2 linked regions of the Tamandua tetradactyla genome follow. The protein of the gene in region 2 interacts with the protein of the main gene of each other region in a pairwise test. Links are inferred from orthologs where the notes say so. Each region holds a gene or a part of one and is shown on either strand. Other genes may lie near its edges.

Region 1 (9,485 bases), on a different chromosome or scaffold from region 2:
CAGCAAAACTGTCCTTCAAAAATGAGGGAGAAATTAAAACATTTTCAGACAAAAAATCACTGAGAGAATTTGTGACCAAGAGACCAGCTCTGCAAGAAATACTAAAGGGAACACTAGAGACAGATACGAAGACAGAAGAGAGAGGTGTGGAGAAGAGTGTAGAAAGGAAGACTATGAGTAAAGGTAAAAAGAAGGAAAATTAGATATCATATATAAAATCCAGAAGGCAAAATAGTAGAAGAAAGTACTACCCATGCAGTAATAACACTGAATGTTAATGGATTAAACTCTCCAATCAAAAGACATAGTCTGGAAGAATGGATTTAAAAACAGGACCCATCTATATGCTGTCTCTACTCAAAGGATACGAGGCCAAGGACACAAATGGACATTTACACACCAATGTTTATAGCAGCATTATTAACAATTACCAAGAGATGGAAACAGCCAAAATGTCCATCAACAGACAGTTGACTAAACAAACTGTGACATTTACATAAGATGGAATATTATGCAGCTGTAAGACAGAATAAAGTTATGAAGTATGTAACAACATGAATGGACCTTAAGGACATTATGCTGAGTGTGATTAGCCAGAAACAAAAGGACAAATACTGTGTGGTCTCACTGATATGAACTGACATTCGTGAATAAACTTGGAATATTTCCTTGGTAACAGAGACCATCAGGAGACAGAAATAGGGTGAGATATTGGGTAATTGGAGCTGAAGGGATAAAGATTGTGCAACAGGACTGACTATAAAAACGCAGAAATGGACAGCACAATACTACCTAACTGTAATGTAATTATATTAAAACACTGAATGAAGTTGCATGTGAGAATGATAGAGGGAGGAGGGCTGGGGACATAAATGAAATCAGAAAGAAAGAAAGATGGTAAAGATTGAGATGGTATAATCTAGGAATGCCTAGAGTGTATAATAATAGTGGAATGTACAATGTACAAATTTTAAAAATGTTTTTGCATGAGGAAGAACAAAGGAATGTCATTATTGCAGGGTGCTGAAAACAGATGATAATTAATACTTTAAAATGTCACCTTATGTGTGAGACTAAAGCAAAAAATGTTTATTTGTTACAAAATTTATATTTTGACTAGCGCGTTTCCTAATATAACTCATGTAGATAGTTTGATCGAATGTCGTAAGTACTTGGAATCTCAGGTAGGACATGAGATTTTGTTGGTTTGTCCAGAGTGCTGCCCCGATGAATCCCAGAGTGATTTGATCAGTTACTGGAAAAGTATTTGCAAGCCCCCTTCGGGGAATGGTGAGAGTGGGGAGAAATTCTGAGAGATTCCAAACAGAGTCAAGAGGTTATCCTGGAGGTTATTCTTACGCATTGAGTAGATATCACCTTGTTATTCAAGATGTAATGGAGAGGCTGGAGGGAACTGCCTGAAAATGTAGAGCTGTGTTCCAGTAGCCATGTTTCTTGATGATGATTGAACAATGATATAGCTTTCACAATGAGACTCTGTGAATGTGAAAACCTTGTGTCTGATGCTCCTTTTAGCTACTATATCAACAGAAGAGTAGAACACATGGAATAAAAATAAATAATAGGGGGAACAAATGTTAAAATAAATTTAGTTTGAAATGCTAGTGGTAAATGAAAGCGAGGGGTAAGGGGTACGGTATGTATAACCTTTTTTTTTTTTCTCCGTTATCATTTTATTTCTTTTTCTATTGTCTTTTTATTTCTTTTTCTAAATCGATGCAAATATTCTAAGAAATGATGAATATGAAACTATGCGATGATATTAAGAATTACTGATTGTATATGTAGAATGGAATGACATCTTGATGTTTTGTTTGTTAATTTTTTTAATTAATAAAAAAAGTTAAAAAAAAAAAAAAACAATGAGAAATCATCTGTGCTTGTTCGAAGCTGTTATGTACCTCAGAAAATCCATGTTCTTTTAATCCAGTCTTGTTGGGGCAGACCCATTGGTGGGTGGAACCTTTTGAATAGATTTTTTCCATGAAAATATGACTCATCCCATTGTGGTTGGTATCTTTTGATTAGATGGAGATGGGGACCTGTCTATTCAGGTCTTAATCCTTTTATTGGAGCTCTGTATGAAGAGAATAAAAGGCAGAAACATAGAGATTGCTGGTAGCTGACACAGAGAGCAGAGAGAAGAAATCAAGACACAGATGTTTGGAGATGCTAAATTAAGAGATGCAATCCACAGTCTGCCCCAGAGAAGCTAAGTGAGAACCCACAGACGCTTAGAGAGAAAGCCACTGGAATCAGAAGCTGAAAGCAATGAACTGGGAGCAAGGAGCAGCAGATGCCAGTCATGCGCCTTCCCAACTGACAGAGGTGTTCTAGATACTGGTGATCTTTCTTCAAAGTGAAGGTATCTTTCTTCAAAATGAAGGTATCTTTCTCTGGATGTCCCAATTTGGACACTTTCATGGCCTTAGAACTGTAAATTTGTAAGCTAATAAATCGCCTTTGTGAAAGCCAATCCATTTCTGGTATATTTCATTCCAACAGCATCTCACACCTACAGGAAATGGCCATTAAAAAAACAAACAAACAAAAAATCACAAGTGCTGAGAGGAGGTGGAGAAATAGTACACTCATTTACTGTTGGTGGAAATGTAGAGTGGTGCAACCGTTCTGGAAGGCAATTTGGTGGCTCCTCAGAAAACTAAATGCAGAACTGCCGTATGATCCAGCAATCCTATTACTAGGTATATATTCAGAGGAACTGAAAGCAGGGACACAAATGGACATTGACAATCAATGGTTCACAGTATTATCACATAGTTGTGCATTCATCGCCCACAATCAATTTTAGAATATTTTCATTATCACAAAATACCCAAACACTCCATACCCTTTTTCCTGCTATTATTGATCACTAATACTGGTGTTTTACTTTTGTTACTGTTGATGAAAGTATATTAAAATATTACTGTTAACTATGGCCCATAGTTTTTAATAGGTGCATTTCCCCCCATATTATTAACTCCTTATAATAGTGGCATACATTTGTTCTATTTCATAAAGGAGATTTATCTTTAAGATGGAAGAGATTCGAGCATGTTTAAGTGCTTGGTATCATGCCTACTTAACAGGAAAGAAAAGAGATACTGACAAGCTGTGAATTTACAGAATCAGATAAAATGTCAGTCAGGGTAGCTAGGTTGTGCTGCAGCAACAAGCAGCCAATGGCTCTCAGTAAGCTTAACACATCACAAGTTTATTTCTCTCTCTTAGTACATATCCTAATGTGGGATGGCAGAAGTTCTGCTCATCTTAGCCATACTCATGGCAGTCTCCTGAAAGGGATGCAATGACTTCTTCATTAGCTTTTAAAGCTGATGAGAAGTAACATGTATTACTTCTGTATGTTTCAAACAAGTCAGAGAACTGCCAAACCTTCTATGTCCTAAGGAAAGGAAGAGTTGGAAACTTTGATGAACAGCACTGACTACTACATGCCACTTCCGGTATTTGAAATAGGCACAAATTTGTATATCTGGTACCTGCTTCGAGCCTAGGCAAGATGGCGTAAAATAAAACATAAAATACTGTTAGTTCATTCCACCATATCCAAGAAATCTGGATTCTGGCCTCTGCCACTCAGTTATTTCAGTTATTGCTATGCAAGCTTGGAAGTTCCTTAACTACTCCACGTCTTTGGGTGAGGATATGATGTTCTTCCAGCTCTAATGTTTTTGGTTCTAAAGGTTTAGGACCGGAATAAAAGGAGCGGGGGGGAGGCAAGGCGTGCTATATCTCAAGACAGACTTTCTATGTTAGTCTGGATGACTGTTGGGTAACGTGCTTTCAGCCAGCAGAGGGCAATAAGGAGCAATAAAGAGACAACAGCACAATCTGCACTGGAACAGCGATTTAAAAAGCCGTGGGGTCCTAGAATAGGCATAGCCCAAACACCCCTAAAGAGTGGGAGAAAAATCAAAGGTGATGGTGGAGTTACACAGAGAAGGTAGGGTTTAACAAACGAGTATGATTGTGGAATCATATTGATATTTCTTTTAGCCTCCAGTGTCTCGGAGCAGCTAGAATTAAAAACCTGGAAGTGTTGAATTGTAACTCATACTAAACTCTGAAATCAGTTCAACAACTAATTGTTGCAGTGTGCTTTGAAATCCATTGCTTTTTGTTATACATGTTATTTTTCACAAAAATGAAAAATACATATTCCTTCTAACCTTCAATGTTTTGGAGCAGCTAGAAGGAAAAATCTGAAATAGTGGCATGGTAACCCAAAACAAACTCTGAAATCTGTTCTACAACTAATTGTTGCTTTGAAATTTATTGCTTTTTTGTATATATGTTATTTTTCACAAAAAAATAAGTCAATTGTGATGATAAATGCACAGCTATATGATGATATTGTGAACCATTGACTCTACACTTTGGATGTTTAAATGACATGTGAATACATAGCAATAAAAATTAAAAAAAAATAAAAGATCACTTTGGATGGACACCTCCCTTGTTCTCTCTCTCTCTCTCTCTTTTTTTTTTTTTTTGGTTAGTATCTCATTAAATACTTTCGTGGTTCCAGCTGCACCTTGAATAATTTGGGGAAGAGGGGGAGGTTAAAAATACCCATGCTGGGGCTCCACCCCAGAGATTGAAATCAGAGTGTCCCGGTGAGCCCTGAATATCGATAATTTTAAAGGGCTGCAACTTGATGCGCTTCGGGTATTCCTTAATCCCTTATTGCTCGTTAGAGGCGCTGGATGTCACCTAGTGGGCGTATTCTCAAAACTGAGTTCTTGAATCCGAAATTCTCTTTTTTCTTCTCCCAAGATTTGTCGGGATTGCATTTTAATGAGGACATCACTGGGTTCCTAGCGGTGGGGGACGAGCTGAATTGCCATTGCAGGAGGCAGTAACTGAGGCTCAACTCTCCCGAAGGAATAAGTAGGTTTCTGCAGAAGCCGAGAAAAGAAAACCGGAAGGACCGGAACAAGAAGGAGACCACGCAAGGGGGAAGGAGACGAGAGAGGAAGAGCGAGGGAGGAGCCAGCGGAGAAATGACTTTGGGCGGGGCGGTCCCCGGCTGAGCCCTGACTTCCGCGTCCTCGCGTCCCAGCCGCGGCTGGGTCAACATGGCGGGCTTCGGCCCGGCTGCCGCTGTCCCGGTGTGGTTGACCGAGGACGACCTGGGCTGCATCATCTGCCACGGTCTCCTCAACTGTCCCGCTACGCTGCCCTGCGGCCACAGCTTCTGCCGCGCCTGCCTGGACGGCCTGTGGGGCGCGTCGGGCGCGGGGCGCCGCTGGTCCTGCCCCACCTGCCGCCAGGGCGCGGCGCAGCAGCCGCGGCTGGGGAAGAACACGCTGCTGCAGGACCTGGCCGACAAGTACAGCCGAGCCGTGCGCGAGCTGGAGGCGGGTCCCGGCCGGGCCCCCAGCCCTGAGCCAGTTCCAGGACCCGGCCCAGCCCCGGGGTCCCCGAGCCACCGCGCACAGGTGCGGGTAGGGCGGTGGATTCCGCAGCTCTTCTCTGGCTCCAACCTTTCCGACCACTTGGTTCGCCACTACTACCCCTCTTGAGTTACTCTTCCATCCTTTCTACTTTTACATTACTTTTCTCAATCTAAAATAGAACCCACTCGTTGGAGAATCTTTGGAAAGTTCAGAAAAGGATAAAGAAGCAGAAAAAGAAAAGCAATCCTACCACAACAATAGCTGCCATACACTTTGGCCTGTTTCCCCGACTCTCCAGCTTTTGCTCATTAAAAAAAAAATAGAGTTGAGATAGCATTGTACAACCGGGATTTGTCCTCTTCTTTTTCATCATAAATACTGTATTATCCCTCAGGCCTGTAAAGCTCTGTAAACATAGATTTTAGTGACTGAATATACTTCCCTTTGGCTTTTAAATTAAAGTGATTGTCTTTGGGTGGTAGGATATTAGATGATGTAAAAAACATTTCTCCTTTCTTGCTTTCTTTGGAATTTGAATTTCCAAATTCACCACGTGTGTATATTTCTTTATGGATGAAATAAGGAATGCACTTATTTCAAAAAGTTGTGAATTTGTCCGTGTGCCTGCATAAGGGCTCCATCTCAGAGTTTCAAATGCCTGATATTTAGGATTGAGCCTGGAAATTTAAGAGCGAAGAGCCTTGACAATACTTGGCCACTTCTCTCTATAAAATAGCCTGATTATGGCTTCCAGAACACCTGCTCCTTTGAGGTCATCAGGGTTTCTTAGATATGAAAAAGGTCCTGGGTCGATTTCAGTTTCTGAGGTCCCAGCATAATTTTAAAAATGAAAAATGCCGAAACGAAGTTATAAAAACTCTGGCTTATTTAGAGTTAGATGATGAACATCCTCTTGTATTTCTGTGATTCTCTGTGTAGGACCCTTTTGGAGGTGATACAGAGTTCTCCATTGAGGTCGGGGCCCAGCTTCTGAGTGTCACCAGGTCTTGATGCCTTCGACAGATGCGAAACTTATTCCCATCCCCAACCAGTCAGCTGAGCAGATTAAGCTCTTAAGTGGAGTTATTTGGCATGCTTATCTGAGTGTTTCTTTAAATGTCAGAGATGTCAGTAAACAAACTAAAAGAGCTTCCATCTGGGAAACTCTTTGAAACCCTTTAAAATCTCCAAGATGCTTTCACAAGAAATAGTTAGGCTGATCCTTTTCACTAAGGAAGAGGAGAGGCCAGGATTGTCACCATTTTTGAAGGACACAGATGCTCCAGCCTGAGCCAAATGCCTTCCATTGTACCACTCACCTGATTGGCTCTGCCTGCCCTCCGAAATCTTCAGGCTCTCTGCACCCTATGTTCTCTCTATCCTCCTCTGCACAAAATAACTGGTGGGTTTTCCTTAGCTCTCATTCCCCATTCCTGGGATGAACTAGGGTACCCTGTTAAGGCCACTGGAAGATCAGTAGAGGGAAATCAGGATGCAAAAGGTTTAGGGAGCTCCCCTCCTCACGTTCTGTACAATAGTTCTTTCATCTTTCGTCTCTTCCTTTATCCTGTGTTTATGGCTCCGTCTGTCAAGTGCTTGGTGCAGGGTCCAGTTGTATGTTCTGATTTTGCTCTTAAAGGTGGTAGCACAGAAGAATAGCACAGACGTTGGTCTGGAGCTGGCAGAGCTGGTGGAGCAGCTTGTGCATATCGTCAGGAGGCTTCAGAGCCAGAGCCCTCTCTCAGAACCTGGGCCAGCCGACGAACCACGTATCCTAGGCACTGTCCTCTCAGCTGGGAGAGGAGAGGATGTGCAAGGGGGTGGGGCTAGAGGTCATTTCTGACTGGGACACCTGAATATGTTTGCAGTTGAAGGATGCAATGTATCTTGATCTTTCACCATGGAACGATTACTAGCAAACATGGACAGTTGGAAATACAGAATGCTTGAAGTAAAGGTGGGAAACTTCAAGTGGTCTAGGTTCCATCCTCATCATTCCACTTAAGGTGCTTCTCAGAGGTCACCAGTGACCTGCAGATACATCCTACAGGCAACCTGGCCCTTACCTTCACTGATCTCAGTATTTGACACAGTAGCCCACACCTTCCCACTCTAAGCTCTCTCTTCCTTTAGTCTGTGGACGCAAGTCTCACAACCTGTCTGGGTAACATCTGTTTGTCCTTCAGCACCCTTCCTCAGGCAAACCTTTGCTGATTTCCTTGAACAAGTCAAATCTCCCCATCAGAAGTCCTTCTGATTCCATGTACCTTTCATTTGTAGCCATTATCCCAGGCATAACTTTGTACCCACTGGAATATAAACTCCACAAGGGAAGGGACCTTGACCTGACCGCTTTTGTTCTTTTTTCACTATTATATCCCCAGGCGCCCTAACACAGTGCTTGGCATATAGTAGGTACCTGACAAATAACTACTAAATGAATGGATGAATGACTGGGTGGTCTTCAGGGATACAGTGTGTTAGGGTGAAAAGTCTGAGGGTCTGACTTTCAGACCTGACTGTGACTTTGCCACTCATGAGTATTATCACCTTGGGCAAGTCGCTTCATCCTTCTGCGTGTCAGGTTCCTACCTGTAAAATAGGAATGACACATGGCCTGCCACTTCACGGATTTGTCGTAAGGATTAAAGGAATTCTTGTATAAGCAATGTGAAGATGTAGGATGATATTATTAAATAAGAAGATTTAGCTAACCTCCATGAACCTCAGCTTCTTCTGTAAAATGGGGATAATTTCATCTACCTTATAAGATTGTTACGCAAATTAGAGATGAGCAGTACCTAGCATGTGGAAAGCTCTGACTAGGTGATGTCTACTACTGTCATTGGTGGAGAGAATGGGAAATGGGTCGTATATGCAAAGTTGGGAAGCAGGTGAGAAGCTATACTGGGGGATAATTGGATCTGAAGTTAAAAGAAAACAGTAAAGAAAAATGGAAAGCAGGGTCTGAATGTAGGCAACATGTTCACATTAGCTCTCGAGAGGCGGCATGATAAAACAACAGTTGGGAAATATTATTATTCTGGCCTCTGAATCTTATCTCAGTGACCACTATAAAGCCCCCAAAAGATGGGCCAAACATTTTTAAACACTTTTTGGCATTACCTAAGGAATCTATGTTCATTATACACAATATTAGAAAATATGTAGCAGTTTAAAGAACAAAAATAAAGTCATCATAACCCCACCATCCTGAAATAACCATTCTTTGATATTTTTGCTGTCCTATATATTATTCCAGATTGTTTTCAATTCACACATTTTGAGGGCTTAATTAAAAACTTGTTAAGAGGTAAATGGGAAATTGCAGGTGGATGGTAGAACTTGAATATAATATTTGATGGATTCCACCAGGGACTTCCATTTATTTATTTTTTAATGATTGATCAATAGGCTTTTTCTTGTGGGATGGACCTTTCCTTGACTCCTCCCAAACCAGTGCCTTCCAAAACATCTGAAGGTGAAATGAGAGACATTCTTAATGCCCTAGAAGAAATCCAGAAGAAATTACGAGAAAACATCGTGTGGAAAGAGGCTCTTGAAGAACAAACACAGGGTGAGTCGGTTTATTTGGTGGAGAAGGATTAATTCTGGAAGTTTGGGTGAAAGAGCAAAGTGCTCCATAGCCTTGTTCTTTGATGACAGGATCTCAGAGCATGGCTTTGTTACTGTGGTGTTGAAAATGAGGTAGGAGTAGGCTGGTGTTTTGGTGGCTGGATATGTTTTTGAATACGATAGATGTGGTGTATCTTGGGCCATTGGTAGATATAAATTCAAAACCTGGCTGTATTTTCTAAGACCCCATAAATGCAGAACCTCGACCTCATTTTGTTATCTTACTGTTCATCTGTATTATCTCTGCTGAGAAGATTCAGAACTAAGCCATTTAAAAATTTTAATGCATAAATATCTTTATTAACGTACATGCAACTTTGTAAATAGTTCTCGATAACATCTATTAAAATAGAATTTCTAGGGAGTGTATTAATAACATTAAACAGTAACAAAGGAGAATGGAAC
Region 2 (10,525 bases):
CATTTGGGTAGTTTCCAGTTTGGGGCCATTAGCAGTAAAAATGCTACACACATTCCCAGCCAGTCTCCAATACACATTTAAGAGCTTCTCTGGGGGCACAGAGCTATGGGCAGAATTGCTGGGACACAGGGTATGCCCACCTTCTACTTTACAGACTACATCAAACCTCTTTCCAAAGTGGCTGTACCACTGACACGCCCACCAAAACCACATTCCCGACCAAGATCTGTTTTCACTGTGGCTTCAACTAGCACTACCCTGCTTTCTAATGAAGCTGAGCATCTTTTCAAATAGCTTTGGCCATCTGTTTCTTCTTCTGTGAGATGACTATTTCCTTTATTGGTTTTTAAGGAGTAATTTTTTAATTCATAGGAGTCCTTTATTTATTCTGGGTAAGACTAATCTTTTGTTGGTTATTTGTGTTGCAATGACTTTCTCCCAGGACGGCTTATCTTTTCCCTTGTACTGCATCTTTTGATGAACAGAGGTTCTTTATTATAATGGACTCAAATGCATCGATCTTTCTTTAGAATTCACACATTTTGTGTATTAAATCCTTTCCCACTATGAGGTCATGCAGATATTGCCCTATTTTCCCCCTAAAACTGTTGTACTTTCATATTCTTTAATCCATCTGGAATTGATTTTTGTGTATGGTATAAGACAGGGATCCAGTTTCATGTATTTCTATTTATATAACTAATCGTCCCAGCCCCATTTTCTAAAAGAGTCCACTCTTTCCCCACTGACCTATCATGCCATATATTCTGCCATATATCAAGTTTTCATATACGTATAGATCTGTTTCTGGGGGCTCTATTCCATTTCACTTGTCGGTTTGCCCAATTCTATTCTTAAATCCAAATTGTCTTAGCTACTGCAGTTTTATAATAAGTCTTGAATTCTGGCAAGACAAGTCCACCCACTTTGTTTCTCCCCTAGCTAATCCTGGTTCTTTGTGCTTTCATATAAATTTCAGAATTACTTTTATCAAATTCTGCATATAAGTCCTATTGAAATTTTCACTGGAAATATTTTAAATGTATAGATCAATGAGGGAAAACTGATACAGCTATAATATTGAGACAGTCTAAGCATGAATACAGTGTTTCTCTCTACTTATTTAGGTATATTTTGGCTTTCAATAAAATTTTTAAATTTTTTCCAAGAAGTCTGGAATCTTTTTGATGGATTCATATATATATATATATATATATATATATATATACACTCCTAGGAACTTTATTTTTTGTTCTATTGTTATCGTAATTGGTACCTTTTTTAGGACTTTTTTTCTGCTTGTTATTAATGTATAGAAATGCAGTTGACTTTAGTATACTACATTCAGTAAACTTGCAAAACACTCCTAAATTTGGTATTTTATTTGATTCTCTCAGCTTTTCTATGTAGATAATTATATCACAATGGGAGTTTTGAATTTTCTTTCCCATCTTTACACCTCTCCTTTTTATCTCCTTGTCTCTTTGCACTGGCCAGGATTTTCAGTGCCATGTTGAATTGAAGCTGATAACAGTTATCATCCTTCTCTTGCTAGTTTTAAAAGAAATGCTTATTTAGGACAGGTTACAGTGGCTCAGCAGGCAGAATTCTTGCCTGCGATGCTGGAGAATTCAATTCCTGGTGCCTGCCCATGCAAGAAAACAAAACAAACAAACAAACGAAAAAACCCGCTTATTTTAAATTTGGCGGTTGCTATAATGTTAACTATAGCCATTCTTTTTTAGGTTAAGGAAGTTTCCTTCTATTGCTAGTTTGTTACATGCTTTCTATCATGATAAGAAGCTGGATTCAATCTAATGCTCTTCTAGCATTTACTGATATGAACAACCTTTTATTTTCTAATCTGTGAATTCAGAATATTGTGTATGTTTTTCTATTACGGACTCAACCTTGTATTTCTGGACTAAGTGCAGTAACCCAGGACTTTTCAGGTGGAAAATCAAAAGGGGTTAAATGATATCAGAATCGAAACTGTTTAAAACTCACTGAACAGTACAATGCTAATCCTACTTGTTTTCATTAAAACCCTGTTGCTGCCAGGGCACCATTCCTACCTCTTTCATGCCTTCTCTGAGCTCTTAGCGGATTTGTCACAAATGGTGTCCATTTGACACTTGGTATGTGCTCTCCTGTGCATGTCCCATACGCCAACTAGAATACAAGTCCCTCAAAGAGCAGCAACTAGTAAGTACACCATAAATGCGTGCTATTGATGCTTAAAATTTTTTTGTGGATAAGATGGTGAAATATGAATTGGATAATAACGCAGTGTCCTTAGAAAACGAGACATCTGGACATACAAGTTTTCTAGGGAGCTACAGTTTTAATCCATAAACACTACTGAAATTTTAAAATCATTCTAAATTGTACACCACACTTTTCTACTTTGTTAACAGAGTATTCTAAACAAGCTTTTTACTATTTATTGATTCTAAGTATAATTTAAGTTTTTCTCAATGATTACAGCCAACCATTAGGAATATCAGTTATGACATTGTGGTAGAGATATAGCTGCAATACATAACAGGTGGGATGAAGAGCCTCCACTGTGGCCCTGAAAGTGGTTTTAACAGGGAAAAAAAAAAGCTGAGATTTTCCTCCTTTGGCATTGACCTCTAGTTAACTCCCAGCAGTCACACTTTTCCTCCTCCATTCTCCTAATCTCCCCACCCTTTTTACCTCAGAATTACACAATGCAGAGCTGTTGGACTGATACATTTCTAGCAGCAATGCTGTTAAAGGATACCATTTCTCCAAAGTACAGCAACCTTCCAGTTTGTTTTTCCACTGTGAGCTCTTCCTCTGCTCTGTACCGAACATTCTCTGACCTAATCATGGCTTTTAATCTCTAGAGGGGACAAGGCATATAAAGTGGCAGGCTCTGGAGGCAGGTTGTCTGGGTTCACCCAGTTTGACACTAGCTGAAGACATCTGGCAAGTTACTTTGCCTCACTATTTCTCAGTCTCCTCATCCAAAGTATGGAATGAGCATATACCTACCTCATAGGATTGTTATGAGGATTAAATGAGTTAATATTTACAAAGCGCTCAGAATATGACCTGGCTTATAGTAAGCACTACATGTGCTTTGTTAAATAAGTGCAAAAACATACTATCGACGTGTACTCTGAGGTCATCTTCTCTTAAAATGGCTCCATTATTTTCATTTTTGGTTATGACTGCAATGGTGGTGGTGCTTTTGGGGGGGGTGGGGGGAGGACGGGATGGGAGGAAGAATGCGGGGTTGCATAGACATTACTGCCGCACCCCAGCCGTCCTTCCCTCTGGTCAGCGCCTCCATCAAACAAACAGGTAGGGGGTTTCAGTGGCTATTTATTCGCTGTTCCCTTAATTCATCTTAAATGAGACTTCTAGATATAGAAGTTTTCAGGAGAGCTACAGTTTTAATCCCCTAAACACCACTGGAACTTTAAAATCGAGATTGTATTCCACAATTTCCTACTTAGATAACAGAGTATTCTAACCATACTTTTTAAATGAGCACAGGTGAGAAAAATAAGGGGTGTTTATTTAATCCACATGGCAAGAGTTTAGAGACACAGGTGACAGCTGTTTCCAAGTATCTGCAGGGCTGTGCTGGGAAAGAGGTGCCATTTAAAGTTCTATGGAACAGGCCGACTCTCACAGCTACGGCCTCCCCACCATTGCAGGCGTCTGAGCAGGGGACTCATGTCCAGGTGTCAAGGATGCTGTGAGGAAGAATATTTATATTTAGAGTCTGATATAACCACTAAGATTCCTCCTACCTCTAAATTGGCAAAACCAGCATGAGTCATAAAGATGTTATGAATCTAGCCGTGAGTCACACGTCGCCAACGCGCTCCGGCAGGTACTTAATTCTTCACTCCCCCACAACGCTTGGCACCTTACCACAGATGGAGGTGAGGAATTCTAGCCCTCAGGCTGCGGATAACTCAGCTCGAAATAATCAAAACTTTTCTAAAACTAAGCCGATCGGTTAGCCGAGTGTAGACTCACACCCCAAAACGGGACTAGGCACAAAAATGTAGGTCTGCACCGACTCTGCGACAGTCCCCAGCTCCAAGTCTCCCGAGGGGCCGGACAAAGGCATGGAGGTGAGCGCGCCGGCAGGTGAAGGGGGCGCAGAGCGGGGCCGAGCTCTCAGCGGCGGGGCAAAGGGACAAAGGCCTGGCGGCGAGCACGCCGGGCGCGGAGGTCGGAGGAAGTGCCCCCCGCCCGAGGGGCCGACGGTGCGGTTTGCACTGGGGGTGTAAAAGGGCGGCCGCCGCCGCTCCCGGAGCTGCAAGTCGGAGCGCCCCGGGGCCATCTCCGCCCCCTGGCGCGCGCTCGGCGCGGGCCGCAGCACCAAGGCGGGTCACCGGGACGCGGGGACCAGCGCGCCCCCAACCCTCAGGCGGGCACCAGGTGCCACAGGGCTCCGCACCCGGGCCGCAGTCTCCCTGCGGCTCACCCAACTGGGGGCGCAGAATGCGCGGCTGCAGCTGCCTCCCGGCCGGCGGACCCCAACCCGAGCGTGCCAGCGGCGCCGCCATCGCACTTTACCTGAGAAACCAGCGGCAGCAGCGTCTGCTCCACCGAGCGAGTTTTGATCTCGAGTCCCGAGTCGAAGGCGAAGCCTGACGGGCCGGGGACGCGGAATGCTCCGGCTCGGCCAACGGCGGCGGGAGCGGAGGCGGCCATGGCCCTCGGCTCGTTGCACAGCCCCGACTCCGCGCCACCGCAGGCCCGCAGCCCGTAGCGCGCCAACCCGCCAGCAGCGGCGGCTGGGCACCCGCTCGGTTCCCGGGACCCCGCCCCCAGACGAGAATCACCGCCCCCCGAGGCTCCACCCCTCAATCGGGTCCCACCCCCAGCCGGGCCTGACCCGCAGCCCTGCGTCCTGCACCGCCACCGAGCCCCACCTCCCCAGTGGGGCTTGACTCCCCAGTCCTGTACTCTGCGCTGCAGCCAAGGATCTGTCCTCAGCAAGGCTTCCGGTCCTTGGGATGATAGGCGACTCATCCCAAGTGAACTCCAAATTCACGCAACGATTTCTAGAAGCTGCGCTGAGGTTGAAACTGGTAGAGCAGAACCAGGGTTAATTCTATCCAGAGGGGCATGTTCCTTGGGACTGGCTTTCTACTAGGAATAAAGTCTTTCCAAGGCTTCTCTGGAAGGTCCCATTTCCCCGTCCATCCTGCTTATTTTTAGAGCCACCGGTAATAAAGCAAATATTCTAACCATATCTTTGTCACAAACACTTTGAGCCGGGTTGAAGATAAACATTTACTAATGCAATCTTTACGAAGTATCTGAGTGGTTCGGCAAGAAGATATTTGGGGATTTTTCAGGTCCCTGTTTAGAATTATTCTTCAAAAGGAAATAAAATAGAGCATATGGAAAAGCTTCATCTGCTTTTGACCACCTGCCTTTTAAAACTACTTTGCAAATTACTTTTCCCCTAGTTCCTAGCACTGAGCAGTTTCCTAATAATATTAATTGAAGTTGGTGGGGAGTATGTTGGAATTCTCTGTATGGGGTTTGTATTACTTTTTTGCACCTGTCCTGTACATTTGAAATTATTTCAAAATAAAAGTTTGTTTTTTACTTTAAGTGCAGTTTCTTTATCCAACTTTCTTCTCTGATTCTTACTCTTCAGCTACCTACCTCACCACTTCCTTAACTACCTCCAAGGCCCCTTTCCCTTGTATAGTAAGGACTCCAGCCTCAGTCTTGGACCCCCTTTAAGCACTGTAAGGTTCCCAGCATCCACTCCCAAGACACACCTTTCCTTATGTAAGTTGACCATATTTCAAAAAACCTCAGTTGTGGGAACTGGTGCCAAAGAAAAGGCAAAACATAAGGCCCAGGACAGACAGATGAATTCATGAAAGTTCAGTTTCACTAAAGATCAAATTTCCCAACAGAAATAAGACTGTTTACCATGTGATTCATTCAACACTATTAATTTTATTTCAAAATATAAATATTTTACATTTACAAAGAAGTTACATCAGTGGGTTGTCAACGCAAGTTAAAGCTAAGAAACAGCATCTGTGTGAGAATAAGGAATATTTATTGTTTCATTTGAATATTCTTTTTACTTTCAAACCATCTCCACTTTGCCTGAGAATGCCAATCAATACAATTTCCAAAAGTAACAACAATTACAACTATATATATATATATCCCATCTTGATTTCAAAATCAAATGATATTTGCAAATACATTCTAGTCATCTAAATAAGTGGCACTGCGAAGGACAACAGAAGGGTTTTCTTTGGGTTAGCTACAGAAAGAGTTGCACTTTCTGGGCCATGGCAATAGAAAAGAAATGGTAGTTGATAATAAGTCAAAATAATGTTACTTTAAAATTTACTTCCACACCTTTCATTATATATAAAATATAAAGTTAGGAAAAAATAAAAAAGAGACTAGGTATGGAAGAGAGACTTCTGGACTTGGAGTCAGAAGTCCTACATATAAATTCTGGCTCCATCACTTTATGGTATAAACTTAAGGGGGGAAAAAAACATCACCAAAAAAACTTGAAAGCCTTCAGTGTATCCTTCTCATCTGTACAATGACAGAAATACTTAACGCCTGCCTGCCTCACAGGGTTGTTATGAAAGCAGTCTGAAAATTATTAAGTGCCATTAAAAACCATTATTAAAATGTAATATCAATGTACCATTACCGTATTTGCAAATTAATTGATCTTTGAAAAACTTACAAAACTAATCAAATACTGATTTTACACACCATAGGTGGAAAAGAATCTCTATACTGTAAAAGTATAGTGCTGAATTGCAAATATGCTCTCCTCTCTCAACTGTCTCACTAAACTCTGAGATTTACTAAAGATTACATGGTACCATGGTAACAGATTTTCTATTAAGTATTTCTATTGGGGATGTTTCTAAAAGGGCAGGGCGGGCCACAGTGGCTCAGTGGCAGAGTTCTCGCCTACCATTCCAGAGACCCAAGTTCAATTCCCAGTGCCTGCCCATGCAAAAAAAAAAAAAAAACCTAATTAAAAGGGCTGTGTAAACCCACTCTAGAGCCATGTTTCCCAAAGGACCAAAAATTGTTTGAGATGAGAAAAGGAGGAGGGGGGCGCAGTTTAAGGTCAAACAAGTCTAGTAAACACAGTCTTTGTCCCCTCTTACAAATTCACAGTAATAGCATGTTAAAAACTCTTAGAAGTCCTACAGAAAGGAAGCAAACTCAGCATTCCTCAATTTTAATTGACCATGGAGTACCTTTCCCACCCACCACCCACCCCACTTTTTACCTCTTATAACATCTGTAAGAATCCCTTGGAACTAGTGCAACTAGTTTCTTAAAAACTCAGTTTGCCAAATGCTGCTCAACTACCAGGAAAAGGGAAGAGAACAATGGACTGGGAGAAAAATAATTACATTCTACTTAGAATTCTGTTACTAACTGGCTGTGTGTTAGATAAGTCACTTTAACCCATGAATTTGTTTCCTTCTTCAGAAAATGACAGGATCATCTAATTATAGAAGGCTCTTTCCAGCTCAGAATTTCTGACTCCAGGAGGCAGACAATCATCTTAAATTTGATTTCTCTTGCTGATTTTTAAACTACTGAAAAATAACTGCTTAGTGGTTTCAAATACTATATGTATTTCTTGCAGGTCCTCAATATGTTAATGAAATGAATATATTTTGATGGCAATAAGTGTAAAGACAAGGCATTGATAAAAATAAAAGGTACTCATTCTTAACTGGAACTAGCATTTGGAAGTATATGGCCAGAGGCTATTTCTACTGTGAAATGTGCCTTCCAAGTCCCACCGAAATACTCCTGTAAGGGTCTCTGAAGACCTTTAACCAGGACTGAAAGGTGAGGTCTAGTCAGTTTACCTCAAACTACTTTTCTCTAATCTAACCTCTGATGGCCTGAATCTTTGAGTATTTCATTTCTTGCCCAGTGCTGACACATTCCTGAAGCACTAATACAACCAGGCAGAACTAGAGGAACAAAGAAATCCTGAGGGTCACATGGTGTCATGTTGAGACCATGGTTAGAGAAGACCTCATCTGCAAGCCCTTTAGCTGTCCTTTACCTGGAAAAAACAGCTGTCCCTTCCTAAGGCTACAGAGTTTTGAAATACATTGCTTCCATAACACTTCTTGTTATCCTCCCACTGTCAAGGGTCATATCACGCCAGTCTCTAAAATAAGGGGAGAACACTGCTAGCTAATCAACTTGCATGGAGAAGGGTACCAGGAACCCTTGCAATTTTAAAAAATAAGTAAGACCGGCATTTAAGGCAGTCTAACAGTGATCACTTCCATAACTGAGAGTATATTAAGAATTTTGGTACTCAAACAACAATTAAATTACATAGAGACTCTGCTGAAAATCCCATGCCCTGTTGTTTTTCAGAGAGAGATGTAGGGACACTTTCCCTAGCTAGTCAATATTCCCATTCCTGGCACTGCCACTGGAGTACTGGGCAGTTTAAGTTTCCTGACCTTTTTGTGGCACTCTGGGGCACTTCCGCTACTAATATTTCAGGGTGACATGGCATCAGTGCAGCTAATTTTGGCAGCTCTAAAGTAATCTCTTAGGGCTTGGAGTTCCCCTCTAAGAACCCAGTATCTGTACCAATAATTGTGCCCAGCAACAGATATACATGAGCTCAACTTTAGTTTCTTGCAATATCACTTTGACAGCTAAAAGCACTTTGGAGGAACATGGTTTTGATGTTCACACTAATTCACTGTGCACAATGTTTGCCTCTTATTAAAACATGCTCATTACTGCTATAAATTTATCAGTATACAATTAACAACAACAAAAAAACCTGATTTCTTTTTTAACCCTTTCAATAGCTTTTTAAAAATTTATTTATTTACTTAGCATTAAACACAATCAGGCTAATATTTTAGGTCTGAGAAGCCTTCTCATGAGTTATCCCCATAGAACCCTGCATAGTACCTGGCCTAGAACCTACAGTTCAGCCAATGAGAATAGAATGAATTACTCAGTAGCCAAATATTCACATGATGGAATGTCAGATTATAATTTCTGAAGAATTCATAATAAAAATAAGAGGTCTGCATGCAGTCTAGTAGATAAACCATCAAATGAGCTGTTTTCCAGATGGAAATGTTTTTATTAAGTAGTATCAGAACACATTTGAGCTCATTATTATCAACTGTACTTCTTAGAAAGAATGTGTTTTAGAAAAAAATATCTCTACTTTAAAATGTTTTGTCAAAAGGAAACCTGTACTCATACTTATGAACCCCTTTCTCCCCCATATTCCCTTAGGCTGAGGAAGGCCTGATGATTGCTTTATACAGTGGAAAGGACACAATGCTAAAAGCTGGATTTGAGTCTCAGCCCTGTCATTAATCATAGGACGTGCTTTAAATTCATTCATAAGAAATGGATAGCAACAGCTATTCTATCTCATAGCACTGGAAAAATTGCATAATATATTGAATAAGACTTGAGGTCCAATCTTACTAACATGACTTTAAGTTAATCACTTAACTTTTCTGATCCTTAGCCTATTTGTGTAAAACTGATTTTAAAATTAGGTGAAACTATATGAAAGCTGATAGGAAGGAATTGTGAAAAAACAGGCAAAAGGGCTTAGTAAAATGTGAAGCATTATGTTGTTTATTTTAATATCTAAGACATTGGAAAAGTTATAATTTAATTCAACAAGCATTCATTTAGTGTCTCATGTGCAGAGCACTGTGCTGTGTGATAGAAAAATTCAACAGAAATATAAAATTCTACTACCAATAAGTAACTAATTGGCAGGACTCCAAATATTGAAACAGAGATACATTTAATAAATTAGAGTACTATTACACCTGAGATTTTTCACTTAAAATATTTGGGGAGGAAAAAAACCTATAATCATAGCATGAATTCTATCATATTGTTAGCATTAATAGCAGCTTAATAAGTACTTTGCTTCAATGTGGGCAGCCAAGTTTTAGGAAGTTGGCAATGGTGTAATGGGAATAGAGGGAGAGTGGAGAGGAAAAGAGCTTCAGTCTTTGCGCCTTCTACAGTTACAACTGAACCTCCCTCTCCAATAAGCTATCCAATGACGAGATTTTTTTCTTAAAGAGGGGAAGATACAGAATGGGAGAAAGGGAGAAAATTCATTTTTCCTGTTCACACAGCTACACACTAGAAATGACTCTTCAATGAAAAGCGACTGTCATAGAAAAGTTTAAGAACAGATTTCTTAAACTGGAGAAAATTACATGGTATATACTTTTAACAGCAGGTAGTTCAGCGCTCTTAAAATAACCTTATAAATATATATAATAATATAGATAACCAAGGTGGAAAAATTTCAAGTCATGGTACCAGTGTATAAATTAAAACTTTTCAAGCCATCTTAGTAACACTGAAGTGAGAAAGCCACATATTTCAGAGCTCTAAGGCTGTGTTTTAAAATGAAAAGGAGCCCACAGCAAGTTCTCTCTTGTCCAGGCTTTATGAATGTAAGGCCAAGAGGCTT

The links.
Region 1: the proteins of CTNNAL1 (region 2) and RNF135 interact in binary tests that used the Homo sapiens proteins (3 or more experiments, as listed by UniProt). The two-hybrid records come from large-scale screens. The link is inferred for Tamandua tetradactyla from reciprocal best matches to the Homo sapiens genes CTNNAL1 and RNF135.

The regions. Positions count from the first base shown.
Region 1 is NC_135332.1:49,196,522-49,206,006, reverse strand, and holds the start of RNF135 (E3 ubiquitin-protein ligase RNF135), read left to right. Parts: upstream 1-5,098; 5' UTR 5,099-5,123; coding exon 5,124-5,486; intron 5,487-7,083; coding exon 7,084-7,213; intron 7,214-8,858; coding exon of another isoform or gene 8,859-8,904; coding exon 8,905-9,021; intron 9,022-9,485.
Region 2 is NC_135328.1:27,925,678-27,936,202, forward strand, and holds the start of CTNNAL1 (alpha-catulin), read right to left. Parts: upstream 4,785-10,525; 5' UTR 4,705-4,784; coding exon 4,567-4,704; intron 1-4,566. UniProt on the Homo sapiens protein: May modulate the Rho pathway signaling by providing a scaffold for the Lbc Rho guanine nucleotide exchange factor (ARHGEF1).